Drosophila melanogaster: one gene and its partners. Changing the gene in region 3 together with the main gene of any one other region gives a genetic interaction. Each region holds a gene or a part of one and is shown on either strand. Other genes may lie near its edges.

Evidence for each region.
Region 1: of ap (region 3) and eya, changing one enhances a phenotype caused by changing the other (phenotypic enhancement), as found in Drosophila melanogaster (one study listed by BioGRID).
Region 2: of ap (region 3) and Dr, changing one suppresses a phenotype caused by changing the other (phenotypic suppression), as found in Drosophila melanogaster (one study listed by BioGRID).
Region 4: of ap (region 3) and Kat60, changing one suppresses a phenotype caused by changing the other (phenotypic suppression), as found in Drosophila melanogaster (one study listed by BioGRID).

Annotation. Positions count from the first base shown.
Region 1 is NT_033779.5:6,533,078-6,537,847, forward strand, and holds the start of eya (eyes absent), read right to left. Parts: upstream 3,035-4,770; 5' UTR 2,824-3,034; coding exon 2,752-2,823; intron 1-2,751. UniProt on the Drosophila melanogaster protein: Tyrosine phosphatase thought to play a role in transcription regulation during organogenesis through its intrinsic protein phosphatase activity. The phosphatase activity was shown in vitro. Appears to function together with So and Dac in eye development.
Region 2 is NT_033777.3:29,554,618-29,559,413, forward strand, and holds the start of Dr (drop), read left to right. Parts: upstream 1-1,768; 5' UTR 1,769-2,018; coding exon 2,019-3,228; intron 3,229-4,796. UniProt on the Drosophila melanogaster protein: Plays a key role in the specification of proneural and promuscular cluster formation. Required for the specification of dorsal and lateral muscle progenitor cells. Regulates development of peripheral nervous system derived from lateral neuroblasts.
Region 3 is NT_033778.4:5,723,813-5,728,643, forward strand, and holds the start of ap (apterous), read right to left. Parts: upstream 3,021-4,831; 5' UTR 2,048-3,020; coding exon 2,009-2,047; intron 1-2,008. UniProt on the Drosophila melanogaster protein: Required for the normal development of the wing and halter imaginal disks.
Region 4 is NT_033777.3:5,226,789-5,234,067, forward strand, and holds Kat60 (katanin 60), read right to left. Parts: upstream 5,422-7,279; 5' UTR 5,281-5,421; coding exon 5,269-5,280; intron 4,526-5,268; coding exon 4,205-4,525; intron 3,838-4,204; coding exon 3,234-3,837; intron 3,041-3,233; coding exon 2,919-3,040; intron 2,049-2,918; coding exon 1,489-2,048; intron 1,403-1,488; coding exon 1,204-1,402; 3' UTR 501-1,203; downstream 1-500. Other genes in the region: Vps37B (vacuolar protein sorting 37B), read left to right, coding at 1-126; Mms19, read left to right, coding at 5,854-5,938, 6,003-6,386, 6,597-6,946, 7,005-7,279.

The DNA of each region.
Region 1 (4,770 bases), on a different chromosome or scaffold from region 3:
CACCTCAGCGTCTGGCGTGGAATCGCCCTGCTGAGCTCGGCACTTCCACCGCCTGAAACTCTATTTGGGTTATCCAGTGCGAGTGGCGAAAGAAAACAGCAAATTTTACATAATTCGCAATCGCCATTTGCTGCTGCGCCAAGCGATTTTCGCTGCCCGAGCTTGTGCGTGGGAAAAAGTTTAACTCAACTGTTACTCGGATGTGCGGCGCCATTTGGAGGGGAAGTCGGAAAGGGGGGGGGGGAGGTGGTAGTGCTCGGAAAAGCAGCAGGTGGCAGCGGATTTCGATAAGGATGCAAAATGGCTAGATGGAACAAAGATGACATTTAACTATACAGACTTTCGAGGAAAGATTGTGTCTCTAGGCATACAATAGAACGTCCTTTACATCCACTTACTATGTTTTATATTTATAAAGCTTTGACAATTCAGCTTTTGCCAGAATGATTTTGACAAATGGTCAAAAAAAAACGCCCCTTAAGAAGACATGTATGCAAATCGAACGGAAGCCAGATAAATCGAAGGCGGACTAAGGGGCGCGGCAAGCCCAGGTGCTGGAATTTGTGCGCCTCTCCACCCCTAAAGAAGTCCCTCAAAACAAAAAAAAAAAAAAACAAAAAAAGAAGGGCGGGAAGGGAGCGAAAGCTGAGCGGCTTCGGTTGACAGCTTCTGCCGTCCGGCGAGATGACCACACGCACGCACTGTCCATCATCCGGTGATCTGGTGGGGGGCAGCAGGACGCAGTTTGCTCAGATTTGTCGACGGACCAAGGGAACACGCGCATGCGCAGCGGCGGACAAGCGGACAGATTGCCGAACGGTAGCGTTTCGATGAGCTGCGCATTGGAGTTGCGATCTCGGGTCGCGAATTCTGCAGGATTGCGTGCTGCACGAGCAACCGAATTCGAGTCCGAAGTTGTATGCAAAAGTGAGCTGGTGAGGGGCCAACAAAAAAAAGGGGGGGGGGAAAGGGAAGAGTCAAATGCAACCTTTTACTAAACTAATTTATGGCACAAGCTGACAACGTAAACATTAACACAGACAACACTCGAATCAGTATCTGGGGGGGTTTTGGTTGGGCCGGCTTGGTTGGTTCCAGCTGCGGAAAAGAGTGGGAGATATGTGGTATAAAGACCTGTTTGTGGGCATCTTTAACGAAATTCCTGTGATCGTAATCTCTTTGTCTCTTCTGCTGCTTTAGAAGAAGATTAAAACACACACACTCGGTCACAAAAAGGCAGGCAAACAAAAGACAAGACAAGAAGACGGCGACAAATTTTTTATTAACCCGGCCCTAAGACCCCGAAGACCCCTACAAACCCCTTGAGCCCCCTTGAGTCCCCCTCGAGTCCCCGCGATAAAAATCAAAATAAACAAGAGGAAAATTTGTATCTTCTGGTGGACGAAGTGGAATCGAAGGAAGGGGCTGCTATGGCATGGGACCTATCCCATGCACCTTAACACTTTGGCACGTTAATTACGTTTTGGGCCACGATCGTGGTAGTATAATCAACAATCGCCAAGTGTCAATCGCAGTGGCCATAATCAATATTTCGACTCCTCCACCGCCCCCCCCCCCCCCACACACTCGCACACACGCACACCGATGTGAATTCTCTTTGTCATAAATTACATGCAGCGCGTATTGTCGCAGTTGAATTATGGCGTGTTAATTTTTACGATTACGGCTTAAACTTAATTAAAATGTGATTAATGCCGCTGGACGAATGCCGTAGCCCAGCTCTGGCTTTTGTGGGCCAGGCTCTTTAAATTCCCATAAAGCCGGCACCCAGAGACCCACTAGAGCTGTAATTTATGCTCTATTAATATTTCGCCTTAACCATCCGGCCATCCGGCCACTCCACGTTCGTCACGTTTCCTTCGATCCGACTTTGTCTTAGCCGTAGTTTAGGGACCCATAAAAGCCTGGAGAATGCCGTTCCATTAAATCGTCGGGAAACGAACTTTACGCTAATCTCGGCCAGACTTTGCATCGCAAGCGTGCAGTGAATGAAAAGGCTTTGGTAATTTGATGGGAGAAATGCATCAGCAGCGAATTGGAAAAACGTTTGTCACTATTTCGGCACTTTATTAAGCGTTTTTAATGACCTTTTGGGACTCAACTTGTTTGCTTCATTACCCCACAGCCAAAAGTTAAGCCGATTAATGCGTTGTAATAAAATTTTGGTCAGGTGCCCATAATCTTTATCCCCATTAACGATTTCCCAACAATGAGCAGTCATTAAAGCGCTTTTCTTCGCAGGATGGGTCTATAAAATTGATAATCCTCTGTGAATGAGTAACATTCCATACATTTTCAAGCAACCCAATGAAATTGTATTTCTTCGAGTGTATTTGCACGACTTATTCGCTTAGATTTATGAAATCGAATAGCATCTGAACACGACTTAGTTGTCAAGCTGGACTAGATTTATATATGAAGTGTGCTATGATATCACACCGACCAATAGATCAGCTTAAAGCATCCTAAACTGTTGTTCGTACATATATTAGACTCCATCCAGGCTTGATAAATGAGAGTCGAAGCGTTATCTCGCCATGGAGTTTCACTTTTTGGATACTACTCCCCGACTAGGTGAAGCCCCACAAGGCGCAACCACCAAGGAAGCTACCGCCGTCATCATAGTCATAACACTAGCAATACTAGTAATAGTAATAACCGACGGCACAGCCATCTCAACCACATCACTTTTAAAGCTTCGCGAGGAGAGCACTACGACTATGTGATTACCTTTGGCTCGATCATTTTGTCAATTAATCCGCATCGCGGGGCAGCGTAGTTGTATGGCATTAGGGTGACCATTCTGTGGACTTGCGATTACTTTCACTTGCAACACACACAAAAACACACACGCGTGGCGGGGTAGTGAACTCGACCGTTTCAGGTAGTTAATGTATGGTCGATGTTTTGAAATCGAATATATATTTAGTTATAGCGTTTCAGAACGAACGAAATGTATCTGGTAGGTTTTTTATCTGCGACTTCGGGCGGATCGACCGTTCCCGTAGCGCTCGCTTTGAGTGGCTCGAATCGACTGAACCACCGAAACAGCCGACTTTTGTGGCTCAATGCGACGCCGGCAGCGAAGCGGCAGCGGCGCTGCTTGAGTGGAAATCCCTGGCTCGGATTATTTGGATTCGTATTCGTACCGGCTAAATGTATCTCGGCACTCGAAACGAGTTCGTGTGAGCGGTGCGCACTCGGAGCAGCCTCTCTCGCTCCCTCCGCCGGCCAGAGAATGCGCCTAGACTCCGCCCATTCCCATTCCCCAAATCGAAGGGCCAAGAATATCGCACAGGGGTGGGTCGAAAACCACTTTTCCTCAAAGTTTGTTGTTTCTTTCTCTGTATTATGTTAGTTTTTTTTTTTGGTAAGTATCTCTCGGATGCGGGCGAACAATGCCCATTGTGAATGAGATTTTGCCGCTGGGCGAACGCCAACTGAAAAGTTGGTTTTCCTATGCGCATAAATTAATAAATTAATTCGAAACAACTCCGCCACCATTCGAGCACATAAAACAAATTAATAAGCTAATCAGTTGGAGTTTCTCGGCCTGTTCAATGGTAACCGCCAGCAAATTTAATGGCAATCGTAAAACGCGCAACGCGAATATCGGGTAATTTAAAACGCCTAAAACTTATTGGGTTCGATGGATCCGTAACGCATTAGAGAAGGAGCTCCCAAAAATCGAAATGCTCATGTAAGACGAGCCGAAGTGTGCTGGGCATAATCAAACCGATACGGGACATGGTATATGGAATATGGCAAATGGTATATGGTATATGGGATATCCGATCTGTGGACGGATTAGTGAGTGCCATAAACAAATTGGCATCTAATCAAAATCACAGGGCTATCTCTCCGTCCATGCAGAAGTGAATCACTTCCGATGGTAATTGGGTAGCATAAACATGATGGTTTAGAGCCACTAATGAGCTCGATTAAATGAATTAGAATGCTCAGACAGTATGGCAGCCAATTGATGTTGATTGGGGCAGCTCTGGCAAATTACTGAGCACATAAATTTTAAAGTGTGTTGAAACTTCATCCAAATGAAATTCTAGTAAAAGAGTTAAGCTTTAAGGTAGGCAACTTGTAAAATATCTTTTAAACCTCTCCTGAATATATATTTTACAATTAAACAAACAGTTGTCATAAACCGATAGCGGTTAACATTTTTTATTCTAATAAATATATATTTCATGGCCGTCTCGTATTTATTTATTTATACGTCTCCGTCGAGACGAAACAATTGAATCGTGTGCTAAACAATTCATGTTGATTCAACACTTGATTTTTGGCCCAACAGAGACTGACTTAAAAGCCTGGATGTAATTACAAGTGAGCAAGTGAAACAAGTGCATTTAAGTAAATAGGCGACATGCACACATGCAATAGAATTGCAATGGAATTCCGACAATGAGCCCATTCGATCCCACAACAAATTCAGCCACAAGAAATAACAAAAGTGAAGCTAGAAATTTGATTATGGCATTTTGTTAAGGCTTTCCACAGAGAAAATCGAGCATGACCTCAAAGTGAGGGAGTGCACTTCTTGGTGGATACATTTTGGGTGCAGTGAATCTCCGAGTCGGGCATTAAATTAGCTTTAATCGCTTTAGCACGATCGTGAGACAACATGTCGTCAATTATATCTACGATGATCATGGTGCTCCTCCCTCCACGATAATCCGTCTTCCCTCAGTTTGCCACTCGGAGAGTCTTCTGTAAACAAATCTGCGCACAATT
Region 2 (4,796 bases), on a different chromosome or scaffold from region 3:
GTAGTGGAAAATAAAAGAAGAAACGCTCGACGTGCTTGGCCTGAGAAATTAATATTTGTAATTGGCTATAATTGTTTATGCCAACGGCACAAAGTATAGAAAACGAGACGCAGACAATGATATTAACGAGCTGAGGGGCCTCTCATCGCATTTTGCCGCCATTTCGAAATGTTTAATTGAAAAGAAAGCGGAATTGCCGGGCATCGTAATGAAGAGCTCAAGTTTTGGGAAGTTGGAAAAATTTTAATCAGTCAAGAGGGGCGTTGGAAAAGTGGTAAGAGGTATATCAAGTGTTAATTGAATGGCTGGGAAATGTGAGAAGTTCATAAACGAGTTTACTGTCTTGGTTTCTTTTAAGTGTAATTAAAAACGATTTCGGAAAGAGTTTGAAAAAAGTTCAGAAATTATATAAAAATATTTCTAAATTTCACCCAACCCATTTAGGCAAGAACTCAAATTAATTGGCTAGAATTTCCCCAATCATGCAGAGTCGTTTCATTTTCAGCATCGTTTGCAACTAATTAAGGCAACCACACAGCCATTCGTCAACTGTTCTAATTGAGCTCTTTATTTTCCACCCACTGGCAATTGTCATTAAAATCCTTTCACCAACTTGCCGCCCGAAAAGCCGAGCGAACCCGCACAATCCGACGCCCATTTCCCATTTTCACAACTTGGTCCTTCGAGCAGCGGAAAACAAAGGAGCAGCTGAACAATGGCTGGCAAAAGTTTTCAAGCCAACAATTTCACATAATAATCCTTAAAATGAGTTTAATTTGTAGAGCGAGAATTATAAAGGGTGCGGTATTCCCGCTCCCTCCCTCACTCCACCCGCCAACCTTGCAATTTATGGAGCTTATGGGGGTTGGCAAAATTCTATATAATCCTGCATATTTCACATTTATATGTATGTGATTGATTCGGCCGGGTTCCCGGGACGTTCGATTTATGTGGACCGATCCGATTTTTATGGCTTATCTCCTGAGGTGGAGCAAAAGGGAAGAAAAAACATAATTTCCTGACCGAGATTGCAGCTTTGCGATAATGCCGCTCCACCCGACATTTGATGCTTTTGGGGCCCTGATAATGATGGGCTTATTATTTATTATATTGTTCTTGTACGCTAAGGACATGTAGGAGTGCCAATTAAAATTGAAAAACCGCCTGGTCTATATATACATACATATATATGTACATATTAGGCGTACATAAAGCTTAAAAAATCACGCCAATTTGGCCAAATGAAGTCATAAACGATAAAGAGGGAGATAGAGGGAAAATGGAGATGGAAGGAAAAGCCAGAAAACCAAAGTGGAAATGGACAGGCGTTTGCCGCCGCTGCTTGTTATAAAATGCTAATACGCGCAGCAGCTCGAAAAAAAAGTGGAAAAACGCTTTGAAGATTGAATTATTCAATAATAATTAGGCGTGCGACAGGGACGGCTATACTGCGGGGCAGCTACACCATCTCTGTCTGTACGGCAAGAGTGCGGCAAACTCACCACACTGAAGCGAGAGCGAAAGAGAAAAGAAGGCGGAACAAAAGTCAGAAAAGTGGAGAAATACAAGACTCACACCGGAAAAAAAGAGCGAGCGAGCTAGTCTCGAAACCAATAAAAATGGTGTCGCACGCGGTGCACTCCACCACGGGAGTGAGAGAGAGGCACGCTCTACACAGCCGGTTTCCCACCACCAATCGTCGAGTGCGTCGGTGTGAGTGAGTATCTGTGTGGCAGGCAGCGGTGCATCCGAAACTGCGACCACAGTTTCAGTCGCAGAACAGACGTGATCTCAAGAGGACGTGTCTCTCTCTGGAAATAAATAGCCCCTGAAAAGATACAAAACGCCGCGTGTGACAGTGTGTGTCTGTGTTTCCCAAGCGTGTGACGAACGAGCGCATTAATTGAAAGATAATCAAAACAAATTAACAGCAGACCATGTCTCAATGAACCAATTAACCGGCGCACCTAAAGCACAGTATTAACGAGCCACAGTTACACAAACGATCGAAAGGCTTTATGTTAAAGCTCAGCCCAGCGAGCATGACAGTTACAGGTCTGCGCCAGACGATGACCAGTCCCACGGTGCCGCCGAGCAGTAACACTCCCGCGGGTAACCTCATCATCACCAGCAGCAGTAGCAACAGCGGCAGCAACAGCGGCAGCAACATGAGCAGCGGCAACATGACCAGCAGCAACCTGACCAACCTGAGTCCTAGCCACCCGGCTGGCCTGAATGCCCTGGCCAGTCCCACCTCGCCGTCGGCACTGCTGCTGGCCCATCAGCAGCATCTGCTGCAGCAGCACCAGCAACACCAGCAGCAGCAGCAACAGCAGCAGCAGGCGGCGGCGCTCCAGCTGGCCGCAGTGCATCCGCCGGCCCACCATCTGCACAAGACCACCTCCCGACTGAGCAACTTTAGTGTGGCCTCTCTCCTGGCGGACACGAGGCCCAGAACGCCACCCAACCAGGCGGCGGATGGACCCCAGAACCTGACCAGTTCGGCGGCCACCTCGCCCATCTCCCAGGCCAGCAGCACGCCGCCGCCTCCGCCGGCCAGTGCGGCCGCCCAAGTTCCCGCCAACACCTTCCATCCCGCCGCCGTCGCGCACCACGCCCACTTGCTGCAGGCCGCCCACGCGGCTGCGGCGGCACATGCCCAGCACCAGGCGATGGCCGCCCAGCTGCGCCAACAGCAGCAGCAGGCGGACGCCCGGGCCAACTCGCCACCCGCCTCCACGAGTTCCACGCCCAGCTCCACGCCACTGGGATCCGCACTGGGATCGCAGGGCAATGTGGCCTCCACTCCCGCCAAAAATGAACGCCATTCGCCGCTGGGCAGCCACACGGACTCCGAGCTGGAGTACGACGAGGAGATGCTGCAGGACCACGAGGCCGATCACGACGAGGAGGAGGACTCCATTGTGGATATCGAGGACATGAACGCCGACGACTCGCCGCGCTCCACGCCCGACGGCCTCGACGGCAGCGGCAAGTCGCTGGAATCGCCGCACGGTCCGCCGCCGGGCTCTCACATGCAATCCACGATACTTTCCCCGGCGGCCCTGGCCTCCGGTCATGTGCCCATCCGCCCGACCCCCTTCAGTGCACTGGCCGCCGCGGCGGTGGCCTGGACGGGAATGGGCGGTGGAGTTCCGTGGCCAGGAACCAGACAAATGCCGCCCTTCGGACCGCCTGGCATGTTTCCGGGAGCAGGATTCGGTGGAGGTAAGTGTCGTTATCCAGTTCTTTGTGGGGTTTTTGTCAGCTTGTTTTCGGTTTTTGTACTTCCTAGAGGGGAAATGATAAACCTTATCTGTTACATGTGCTTAACTGTCCTGTCCTAAGCGATATTTTAAACTCATTTGCAATGGAGGATTCAGCATGGGCATAATTAAATAATGGGAAAATAAAAATATATATAGGAGAGAATATAGAACTCAAAAGGTTTACTTCAAAAAAAATAAAAACAACCTCAACTCTCTTTCGAAAATATTTTCAATTTAGAGCCTTAACATCAAAGTAAATATGAGTGTATATATAGTTACATTTCATATATTTATTTATAATTAACTGTAAACCCATAAACATGAACTTCTGAACCCGTGAACAATAGAAATACGCGAATTCCGCTTGGGAGCAAATTCCCCATTAGCAGCCAGCGATGTGTATTCAAAAACGATTTATTTAATGGAGGAATTTCAAACCACCCACCCCACCCCTCATTGTTTTATGCCCCATGTGCGGTGGCAACTTTATCTACACCATTTTGTGTCGCATTTTAATTCAATTAACTGCCGCCCCTCGCCTTAATTGGCATCGATGGTGACTCTCCGCTCCTGGTCGGACGCGAGCTGCGGGTGCTCCATCATGGCCACCTCGTCGTCATCGTCATCATGGCTATGGAATGGAAGTGATCGTGACTGCAGTTTGTAGTCAAAGTGCGTGGCAATTATTGCGGGGCCTTAAATAAAACAATGAAAACTGCCTGATTGCGCTGGGCCCATTATTTGATGATGATGATGATGATGATGGCTGATGGCTGATGATAGTCGCGTCGGTTCTGATTTGACTCAATTGGCCACGTCTGATTATTCATTGCACTCGCTGGCCAGCGGCGTTTTTCGGTGTTTTCCGGTCTGACAGCCAGCCAGCCCCCCATTACCGTTCCCGAATTGGAAAATCTAATAATAAGCGCGTAAAAAGCGGACTGTCTAACCGACCAGCCAGACTAATTGAAGCGAGTCTGGCTGTTTAACTGGGCGATCTCTATCTGCATGCACAGTTCACACTTTGCCTGCATTTCCTGGACAAAAAGCACCGCGGGTCGTAGGGAAAAACTGGTGGAAAATCGGGGAAAACACTCGACAAGTCACACTTTGATGCCGGACTGACATGTGAACTTTACTCGGCCATCGCGAACTCTGCGTTTCCGCTCCTTAAAGTTGCTCAAACACATTCGAAAAACTCGGAAAGGGCGGTGCAAAAACGGTGGGCAAAAAAGTGTAAATTTGCTTTTTATATGCAGAACAGCAACTATTGTTCCTGTTTTTGCTGCATATGCTCGGGTTTTTCTTGCCACTACAAAGCATTGTTTTATAAAGCTGTCGGCTGTGTTTTGAAAAAAAGGGCTTCAAATGGGGTGTTGTATTAGGAAATTTGGGCTTTAAAGTAGGTTAGTTCGAGTATTACCATATTACCGCCTCATTCAAACTATTAATACATGAAATTCCAGAACTGCATCTCTAAAAGTGCTTTCATAAATTCCAAAATATTTCAAAAGGGAACTGTTCAAC
Region 3 (4,831 bases):
AATTGAATTGAATTAAAATTGAGTTTTGTAACAAACTTAACAATAGGACTTATTGATGTTTCCGATATTTTGATTACGGGCAAATGACAGCTACAAAAAAATGTATTTGAATTCGTTGTCTATTTCTCGCTATTGGATATCGGTTACTCAGCTAGGCAGACTGCGAAAAATAAATTTCAATTTTTTTGCATATCGAAAGAAATTGGAAAAAAAATTAAGACGAATGATAAGTTAGAAAGGGTGTGTTAAAAATTTTCTTGGTATTACAATACATACATAAAACGGAAATATACCAAAACATTTTCATCAAGATGGGCGTGGCCGCTTTGGGCTGTTTGTGCATGTCAAAGAGTTTTTTGGCAAATCGGTAAAAATTTAAAGACTTATAAAACATGAAAAATATCAAAACATATTTCAAAAGCGTATTTCTTGGCGGTTTAAATTTAAATTTTTGTTCATTTTATTCACCGATATCTAACGATATTCCAGCAAAATGATGAAATGTTGCGTTTTCATTCCCACTAGCTGAGTAACGGGTATCTGATAGTTGGGGAACTCGACTTTTATATATAAAAAGAAATGTACAAAAATAAAAATTTGAAAAAAAAAACTCTAAAATTACTTTTATAAAATTTTTAATAGTCCGAATTTAATCAATTTCGTAACTTGATCGATGTGCCGAATTTATCAGGTAAACACATCATCAACACATTTTCGAATACTTTAGGAAGAAAGAATTTTGAGATATGGGAGTTTGTTTTAGTGGACTTGGAAATACTTTAAAACGGCAGTACAATATGAATGTTCAAGACTAGGTTTCAGCTTTTACAATTCCTAAAACGTTTAAAAGGACGGACGGTTGGACGAATAAAAGAACGGACAGGCGGACATGGCCAGATCAACTCGGCTATTGACCTTAATCAAGGATATCCCTTATAAGGGTCGGTAACCCTTCCATCTGTCTGTTACATACTTTTCAACGAATGTTTCATACCATTTTACTCTTCCAATTTATTTACGATTTTCCTATTCTTATACAATACAATCTTATACAATTCTTGTACAATATATAGATGTGGTATATATAGACTAGAATTCGAATACTCGTACATCTCGATTTACAGTAATCGATGACATTTGGAAAACATACAAAAGATGGGAATTAAAACAAACACACAGATTTCAAACACCAAAGTTGTAAAGTAACAAAAAATTGTTTGCATAAAGTATAAGGAATGCGTTATGTTTCAAAATAGGAATAGCAATTAAAAATGACAAAATCAAAAATAGGTAAAAGATGTTCATGTAACTCATCAAGGCAATTCGTTCTTTTCAAAAAAATGGTACAAGAATATCTCTGTGTGGTAGAAAATGCCTTATTCGCGTTAAAAATTAGTATTTGAAGGTCAATTGACTACTATTAAAATATATCAAATTGGTATATATTGGCACACGGTGATTATTCTCTAAAACTGAATACGTTCGCGTCGAATATCAGATATATACAAAAATTTCGTAAAAACGTACATATTTGTTTTACCTGTATTTTGATTTCTACATATCTATTAATTTTTTTGCACGACTATGCCGCCCAATTTGATTGTATATTGATTAGTACGACTATCATCAAAAATCTGCCTTCTTAAACATTAAATGATTCTAACCTAAGTTAGATGAATAAAAATTAAGGCAGGGAATCACATTGAAATTTTGTAACCGCGTTCTACAGCAATGTTTCAACGAGCGAACTAGCCACTGATTGAACACTTCTGGGAACTGTTTTTAATCTGAAATGCCCAAGCGGCTTTCTTATCGATATTGAGTGGGGCTGTCTGTTGATAGGCAAGCTTTCAGTCTGGTATTGATAACTCCGAGTAACCCAGGCTCGGATCAATATTAATCACAAAGGGCAGAGTTTGGGTGAGCTGGGACGGACTGGTGGATGACTTATTTTTTAGTCTTATCGCTGGTAACTTTGGATTTTATGTGCTACGGCGGCAGAACTTACCCAATGCATCACAGGGCGCTCCTCGGTGCAGACGCCCATGTGCGTCTTTTGGAATGACACGAGGTCTATTTCCAAGGATGATGTCCGTCGGTCGTGTTATGTTTGTCGTTGTGTAGGCTGTGCGTTGTGTCTTGCGAGCCTTATGCCTCCTTAAAAGGGCTGCGGTGCTACGTTGGTCTTGGGTAATCCTCTACACCCCGGCTAGATGTGCTATTGGACACTTGACACTGGCCACGATTAGATGCCCGGCTAGGCTCGCCGGTAATAAGTGTGCGCACAACTTGATCTATTACTTTGCGGACATGCATCACTTCGGCGTTGTCTTAGAGATTGACACCATTGGCTTGCCTTTTCTTATTGCACAAACTACGATTTGAATGCCGCTTTTTTTAAACTTTCTCCTTAGCACCAAGGTAATATAAGGAACATAGGGTCACACACTCACTAAAACACTTGACTCGGCGGCAGGTAGGATATTTGTATTGATTAGAAACCGCCCCTGTATCTCGAGCGCAAAGGCGTTTTCGGACCGCTGACGACCACCGGTTAGCGTAAGAAATCTAAAGTTAATTTATGACATTAATTTACGAGACAGCGCGAGAATGGCACATCAGATCCAAATTGAGTGGTAAAGGTCGGCCTTTGTCGGGCTCTTCCTACGACACTCGACGATGCCTGTTACTGATAAGGCATTAGAGACAGAGGCGCGTATGCGTATGCGGCTGTGCTCCCTTGTGTTGTTGTTTATGACCGGGCAGGCGATTACCGATCCAACTTCAGTTTTGTATCCGTTTCGCCAACTCCCTGTTTCTGTGTCGATTCTCCTTCGATCCAGTTCTGGCAAACCGAAACTACAGCCGAGCTCAAGTCAAAACAAAAATCGAATACGCGCACCGCTTCCAAAAACAAAAACCGACTCAAATTCGAAACTCGACTACCGACTTTGGTCTGCAGCTGATCTACTCAAAATCGTGAGGACAACCAGCCGTCGCAGCTGAAAAACTGGGAATGTTTGGACGCTGTGCGAGCGCAGCGCCAGAAGCCAAAAAACTCCACCGCCCCGTTCGCCGTGTGTTTGCGTGCGTGATGTGCGCGCGCCAGTGTGAGTGAGTGCGATGTCGCGCATGAGCTGCCATCCTGCTTGCACACACGCTCATTCCGCAGCTCTCACGTAGTGGCAAATGGCGGCGCTCTCAGCTGATAGCGTCAGTAGCTCGTTCCCGCTCTAGAGCACAGCCAGTAGACGAAGAGGGCGTGGTGTTCTATCCGCGCTCTCGCACCAGCCGAAATCGCCTCCCCACGCACCGCCCACCGGACAGTTGGCCGGCTGCAAAACGTGAATAAGGCAGCGGTAGCAGCAGTCAGGAGGAGTATAAGCTGTGCGCCAGACGCCACATGAATGAGGATGGACTCCAGACTCGAACTGGAAGCTGCGAGCGGAGTCCGTGACAGGAATTCCAACTCGCAGAGGACGAACAGTGGTCTGAGGACGCACAGGGGAACGAACTCTCACACCAGCGGGTCTTCGGTTGACTCTGCTGATTCTTTAGTTGTGTAATGAAAAGATGCATGGTGTCTATATATGCCGTCTTCATGCTGAAAACATCATGCAGAAAAGTTGTAACTAACTTACTGAGAGCTATTTATTGTGTTTTCGTATGCTGACGCTATAAATGTTGAAAGAATATAGGTTCGTTTGACAGGTGTATTTATAATTCTCAACCAGTTCAAACGCTACCAGCACTACGCCCAAGTTGTCGCCTGCTTCCAATAAGAACTGTCATCATAGAACCTTGCTGTCACTTCTCCTTTAATTCCGCACAAGCTTGAAACAAAGTGCACACAAATCTCCAAATGGCTTAGGGAGCAGATTTAACGTTAAATACTTTTATTGCAGTTACAGCTATAAATATTCAGCTTTTGTGGTATGCATTCACTATGATTCCACAAATGTTTGACATTTTGAGTGTTTTGCCGGTTGTAACTTACATATATTTGGCAAGTTTTGGTTGAGGTTACGGTTACATTTTAATAATGTAAAATATTTGCCATTAACTGCAATGCATTTTCAGAATTTCAACCAGCTTACGTTGATTCAATCGTTGAAAAAGAAATTTTTTTAAGTGTAATTGTTAATATACTTCTGCTGTTACATACATAAGTTCGCCGCTGCTTTTTGAACTCTTCGCAGAAAGTTTTAAAACATGTATTACGTATTTGAAATGTTTGTGCGACTTAGCCTTCGCATTTAACTTTATTTTTGGGCAAAATGTTTCACCTCGTTGTTGCTATTGTTGCTTGTTGACTTAAGAGGGCTTTCAAAGAACCCCGGTTAAGTCGGAACTGATTGGGTGGATTGGTTGTGGACGTCGGCACAGATTTTGGGTCCTTATTCCTTACGAATATACACAGCTGAATTCTCATGATTTTAATATTGACAAGAGTAAATGCGAATACATGCAGTATTTTCAGACCATTATAATTGGTACAGTGCCTCATAATAATTTGTTTATAGATTCTTTTAAATTTTACATCTTTTTTTATTGTAAACAGGCCCATCTTACAAAAGTGCGTAAAATATACTAATACATTATAAGAGATGGGCACATAAGGACAAAATAACGGTAACAGTAATCATTGGTAAAACATTGGTGTATAAACCGATTTGATCTTTAATAATTGTAGATTTATGTATAATAAACGTTAATCATGTTATGTGATTATTAGAAAATATAACCATCTCATCCCTCTGTTAGAATTCTACTCTACAATACGTAATAAGGGTATACTGAATTCGTGGCAGTTAAGTTTTCTTTAGTCAAC
Region 4 (7,279 bases), on a different chromosome or scaffold from region 3:
AATACTTCTCTGCCAGCCTACGGAAACGTGCCCTCCAGCGGATTCTATCCCGCGTCTGGGGGCTCCGCCCCTTACCCAATCATGGGTCCCCTGATGCCCATGCCACCGCCATCCAGACCGTACTGAGGTCTTGGTCCTTGGTCCTTGGTCCTCAGCGAATTAACTGCCATGGCGCATCAGTCTGCAGCAGGCAAGTTTGTACATTTGGTAAGCGGTGAACGAAGGGTGCTTTCATCAGATAAACGTTCTTGGATTTCATAATAAAGTGCTTTTCCCTGACTCTTGATTTCTAGAAAAGATTAATTACCGCTGTGTCATACAAATGCAACATCCGCTTAGTATCTAGATATAAATTCTCTTTGGGGATCACAGCATTTTCGTAACAGTGATTTAATTGTAATAATAATCAAATCATAACATCATCAGCATCATTTGCAAGACCTTTATCCTTATTTATCCTTGCAGAAAGCACCCAAAAAAGTCACAACTCTTAATGCCGTAAAGTTAAAAACTTCTTTATTGTTTAAAATTTCAGAATCCTCTCTTTAAGTACATATTGCTTCAGTTTCATCTTCTGATTACAGTGGGTTAATTGCAAATCAGAGGGAACTTTCTGGTACACACATCTCTGCCTGCACTAAACTATGATATATATGTATATGTGAAAGTATAAATTAAGCGAAAATTAACATTAATATTAGACAGTGGACATTTCTTGTTAAAATAAAAACTTTCGATAAAAAATGATACGGATTGGAGTGTGCATATTGTGGGAGTATGAGGCCAAGGCTAGGCGGCGATTAAAGCGATTCCTTATTGCATATAGTGTGATTGTGGGTTAACGATTTGTTGGAAGGTTTGTGCTCATGGAGTGTGTGGGTGGTTTTCGCTATGTATACATAAACGTATTGCCTATCTCTCGACTTCATTGCAATTCAATTTCAATTTCAGTTTTCCATTTGTGTTTCCTCTTTGAGAGCGGTTAGTCTTTTCTAATTCCAACGGCCTCCGGTTCAATGTATATATGTAAATATATAGATTGTATCGTATTTGCAAAATGTTATATATAAAATATGTTCAACTCTTCCGTTCGGCTCGGATCGGTTCGGTTCTCACTTTAAAAGCTTAATGACTTAAGCGCGTGTTTAAGGCTATTCAAAAATATACTCCTACAATCGCTAGCCATTCGCGTCTGCAGCGCCATCATGACGATCCGAACTCCCTCATCCACTTCTCGTACTTGTCCAGGTCTGCCCGGGACACGCTCTTGTTGCAGCGACTCATGGCCTCGTTGAAATCCTTGTTGGAAACGGGCAAATCCACCTCTTCCGTAGCCAACTGCCGAATCTGCTCTGGGGTCAGTCCTGCGATCTTTCTCCGCATCGACATCATGCTGGCCTCCCTGGAAAAAGAAGAGCACGCATTTTATTCCATTGACATGATTTGGAACTGACTACGCCATTTTAAATTAGTGTATTCTGAACTCACCTGCACACGTTTGTGATGTCAGCTCCGGAATATCCCTTCAGCTCGTTGGCTACGTAGGTAAGATCGACGCTATCGTCCACCTTGACCTCGCGGAGATTGATCTTGAGCAGCGCCTCGCGACCTTCATCCGATGGCAGTGGGATGTAAATGCGTTTTTCCAAACGACGCCGAAGCGCTTCATCGATGTCCCAAGGAAAGTTGGTGGCGGCCAGCACCATGACCACCTTGGCCTGTTCCTCTCCGCCGCCCACGCCGTCCATTTGGACCAGCAGCTCAGACTTCACTCGTCGCGAGGCCTCGTGCTCTGATTCCGATCCTCGGCGCGAGCACAGGGAGTCGATCTCGTCGATGAAAATTGTGCTGGGCGCGTAGAACCTGGCCATCTCGAACAGGAGCCGCACCATCTTTTCCGACTCACCTCGGTACTTGGACGTCAGCGTGGCCGAGCTCACGTTGAAGAACGTAGTTCCGCATTCGGTTGCCACCGCCTTGGCGAGCATTGTCTTGCCCGTGCCTGGAGGTCCCACCATTAACACGCCCTTCCACGGTCGCCGGATACCCTGTTGTAGAAAGCAAGAAGTGATTATGTACTTTTGCTTTAAAATGTTTACAAACTTTCAGTATATATTAATTGTATACTTTCCGATTGTTTTGATCTGAACCACTGTTTTAGGCTGTGTCATTTGCCTAATTCTAATTAATTAAATAATCTACATTGGAGAAGTGAGTACCATTTCTTCCAATCAAACATAAATATCTAATTATCTACTATCCACGTTAAGTCTATCTTTCTTGCTATTGTTTATTCAGTAAGATGGTAAATCGAAAAATGGTGCTGTAGGCTTCTCTGATGCCCATTTCAAACATCTTTCGCCCACGCAAAATTTCATGGTATCCACATTTTAGATGGGGAAAATATTTGTTGGACGGAAATATTTGAAAACAACAAATATTCTTACATATATGGTACAACACGGTCAACATAGCAATCGAGCTCAGTCTCAGGTGTTTGGATCAGTGATTTTTAATGTGACTTAAAGGCGTTAGAAACACATGGTCAGCATTCCATATATATACATAATATATACATAATTATTTATTTTTTTTCGACAGGTTATTATGGATCGATATTCTTTTGAACGCACACATAGTTTGATAAGATAACATAGATAGAGGTACATCATAATCAGCATAATTTCAACAATGGAAACTTTTAAACCGCCCCAAGTAAAAGTAGAATGTGTTGACAAGTTCCACCACCTAGTTAAGAGGGATAAAGCTGCAAGGCGATGCATTTCGTGACAGTTCAGAATAGTTGATCAAATACACATTGCCCTGAGCACTATAATAAAGCGCGTTTGTTGACCCATCGCGAGATAAGCGTTTGGCAGAATGTGATTCACAGAAAACAAACAGCGGGGGTGACGCACCTTGAAGTAGTCCGGCATGAGCATTGGCAGCACGACGGCCTCCTCCAGCAACCGCTTGGCGTCGTGCAGGTCGGCAATGTCGCTCCAGCGCACTTTGGGATCCTTTTGAAGAATATCACGTTCTGAAAAGAGAGCGTTGGCATGTAATAAATGTAGCTATACTAGACCCAAATTTTCATAACTACTACCATTTTTGAAATAGCCACAAATCTTAAAGCAAGTAGAGTAATGCATTAGCTTTGCTTAATAAATAAGACTAGCACATCACCAAATTTTGAACGAGGCAAACCTTGCGGCAACGATTTAGGCACCTACCAAGAATGTCGACTAGCTCGGCTTCGATGTGGTTGTTGGGCTGAAACTTGCGCTCTTCCTCTTGGGCGGCCTGCGGATCGCCGTTTTCTCCATCGCCAGCCGCTCCGCCATTGTTGCCTGCAGCGGTGGAGTCGTCGTCCCTAGCCTCGTTGGTGTTCGATGTGGATAGCTTGCGACCGCCAGCCCTTCCATTGGTGGTGCGTGCTCCGCCGCTCGGTGCTGTGGCGGACGTTGAGTTGCGGGAATTGCGTGTCGAGGCCGGACCATTCCGGGCAGTGCTCTGCGGGATTGTGCTGCTGGGGCGGCTGTTTTGCGTTGCCGGAGTGGTGCGGCGGTTGTTCGGTGCGGCTCTTCGGCCAACGGCCTGAGTGGTGGGTGGTGGCTTCGGCGGACCCCACACATCTGGATCCTTGGGCGGAGGCGTCCAAATGTCGGGGTCCGGCTTGAACCAGGCAGATGGATCTTTACTGGTGGTGCTTTCTTCGCTGAGCTGGTGTCGCAGCTTGTGTGCAAATTTGGTTGACTGTAGGTCCAGCGAGATGTCTTGTAGGGTTCTCTGAATGGCCTTGATTTTGGCGTGCTCCTGGCTAATCTGCTGGTTGATCTGCAAATCGAAGATCAGTTAGTTAAATGATGTCAATGAAATCGTCCGGTATGGTAAATATTAAACTTTTTGAAAATACTTGGTTTATTATGATCTATTGGAGTTTTAGCCAGTTACTTTGTGCCAGTAGTGCTAGAAATTACTTTGTAATTCAAATTTTAGTCATTCGGTAGTGTTCTGATTAAATTAAATCTTTATATGCACGTTAACGATCTAGATAACTCGTTTACACAAAACCTCTTGGGCAATTTTGAATGGCGTTGACAAGATGTTATGACTAAGTCCTTTGTTTGTCATAACCGTCACCATTCGCATTCATTGGCATGGTAGTTGACAGTATCTGGAGGTGGTGATAGGAATGTCTTACCATGCTCCACTTGCCCTTGCGTAGCGGATCCGCGGTGGCCTTCAGCTGGCGGGCGAGCAGCCCCTGGAGGCCCTCATAGTAGATGCAGGCTGAGTCGTAGTTGCCCGTCAGAGCCATGTCCCGTGCTAATTTGGCATTCTCGCATATTTCTTCAAACGTAGTCTTGGCCATTACGGTCATTCCTACGCAAGTGGTTGTCTTTTGCTTGCCACCTCGCAGTAACTGGCGATCGGAACAGGTTGTCGTCATTGTAGCCAAAAACGAGAGACAGAGATTAGTTCCAATTAAAGCGCTCGAGTGCGTGAGTTTCTCCAAGTGTTGCTGGGTGGGAAGGGGAACAATAGAACGGAAGCGACTTCGTCATTCGCTGGCTCGCCTTGCAGGTAAAAATGGAAAGTGCGCCTCCCAGCCAGAAGCGAATAAAGTGGAAAACCCGGCGACAATTGCGAATAATAGAAGATGCCAGTGGCAACGACCCAAGTGAGCTGCTAATTATAAATTATCAGGCGCACAGCCGCCGACTTGTCACCAAATTTAAACGCAACGCGCTCCGATTTTCAATTCCGCCTCCAAGGCGGGACGTGGGCCAAATGCCGATTGGAAAATGTATTAGGTAGTTATGAGCCGAATAAGGCGTTCGACCTTGTTGGCTTTGAATGATTCTTTCAACTCGACTCAAATCGTCGTATGCAAAAAAAAAAAAAAAAACAAAAAACACAATAGTAAAAACAACAAAATTAACGCTCGCACACACACACGCACACTCAGCTCAGGTTTCAGCGGCACACAACACACACTTTCGCACACACGCACACGGGCGCACAATGGGTCGAATTAATGCGATCTAAATAGAATTTGAGTTAATTGCAAGCCTCTGGACACAGCAAACTGCACTTTGCATTCGACACTTCACCGTATTTCTTATTCTTATGCTTCTTATTTTATTTCCAGCTATGTGGGGGCGTCTGCAGCTGCAGCAACCACAAGAGCAACAACAACAGCAGCGCTGACGTCTCGCCGCCGCACACCTACAATTGCAGCTGAGCAGTTCGCGGGCGACTTACGGTTATGGACATTAGTGTACTAGCTTTGTTACGCGGCGTTCCGAGCGCAAAATGAATGCGTAAACTATTTAATTCAGAGTTTAAGGTGCTGCGGTAGCTAAAATAAACTGCTGCCTGCCTGTGTTTGTAATACTAGTGATGTGCGTGCTCTGGTGATGCGGGGCTTATCGATACATCGGCGCGGACACTTGACCACCCTGTTGCGTTCCCTGTGTGCAACAGTCGGCGACTATCGATTGTTTCCAGAGCTGCTAAAAATATATTTCTAAATTTACAACGAATTACAAGAAAATAAAAAGAAAATCTCCGTATCGTGTCTATCGATTATAAATCAATATACAATATGTAAGTATATTTTCCAGTTCTAGAATTTGTCTCCGAGCCACACATTACCATCCCTGAGCGCCACTGCAATAAAAGCTATATTAATCGCTAAAACATTTGCACTACTGTAACACCAGTCTGGCATCGCTGTGATATAGATAAGGCCAGTACGACAAGTCATCGGTTATCGGTTCTTAACATTTCGGCTTAACGTGCTTAAACTCATTTAAATTTAGACACCACTCAAGCGACGGTGCCGCAATGACAACGCCCACGCGCGCCACCCTGGAAAAGGCTCTGAAAAGCGACCAGAAGCTTGTGAATTCCGCCACACAGATAGCCAAGGGCAGGTTTACACCCGCATCCGTGTCGAATGTGCCCTTCTCATAGAGATTCTTTGTTTCCTCCAGATCTGACCGCCAAGGCATATGACATATCTGCTCTGGCCGAGGCACTGGGCTTCGCCCTGTCCTCTCCGGACATGGAGGAGCGTGTGGCCGGAACCAACTTGCTCTCCGCCGTGTTGATAGCACTGCCCCAGGATCTGCTGCAAGAGCGGCAGCTGGAGTTCCTCAGCACCTTTTACATGGACCGCCTGCGCGACCATCACAACGTAATGCCAGCCATTATCGATGGAATCGACGCCCTGGTTCACATGAAAGCTCTACCGCGCGCCCAGATTCCCCAGATTCTGCAGTCATTCTTCGAGCACACCACCTGCCAGTCGCAGACGCGGAGCGACCGCACCAAGCTGTTCCACATTTTCCAGTACTTGACGGAAAACTTCCAGGACGGTGAGCCCTGATTTCATTTTAGCATGAAAGATACATTGACATTGCTTTAATCCGATTTAAACAAGTCAGTGTGCAAAAAAGTTATAATTAGATGATTTTAACTAGTCGAACAGATATTTGCGACAATCTTAGTACCTTTTATTTCCGTTATTTTTAGAAAATATTACACAATATTACAACTCAAACAAATCAATTTTCTTCCCGATACAGAGCTGCAAGCGATGGCCGGTGACTTCGTCTACGGCCTGATCAATTCCATTGACGGCGAGCGTGACCCCCGCAACCTTGACATCATTTTCAGCTTCATGCCCGAGTTCTTGTCAACGTATCCGCTGCTGCATTTGGCCGAAGAGATGTTTGAGATCTTTGCGTGTTACTTTCCAATCGACTTTAATCCCAGCAAGCAGGATCCAGCGGCCATAACCCGTGATGAATTGTCCAAGAAGTTGACTAACTGCCTGGTAGCCAACAACGAATTCGCTGAGGGCACAGTGGTACTGGCCATAGAAAAGCTGGAGAGTGAGTTGCTGGTTGCCAAACTGGACTCCATAGAACTGCTGGCAAGAAAACGTAACATTTTGAAATGCCTCTTTTTATACATGCTATTTATTGTTACAGCACCAAGCTGCCGTGAAGTTCCCGCCTTCCGTTCTGGAGCCGCACTTCGATCAGATATGGCAGGCTCTGAAAACAGAGACTTTTCCAGGAAATGACAATGAGGAGATACTGAAAGCTTCCCTTAAGGCGTTGTCTGCGCTCCTGGAGAGAGCTGCTCACATACCGGATATAAGCCACAGCTACCAGAGCTCTATTCTGGGCGTAATTCTACCGCATCTCAGCGATGTCAATCAGCGGCTCTTCCATCCTGCCACCGGGATCGCCTTAGTTTGTGT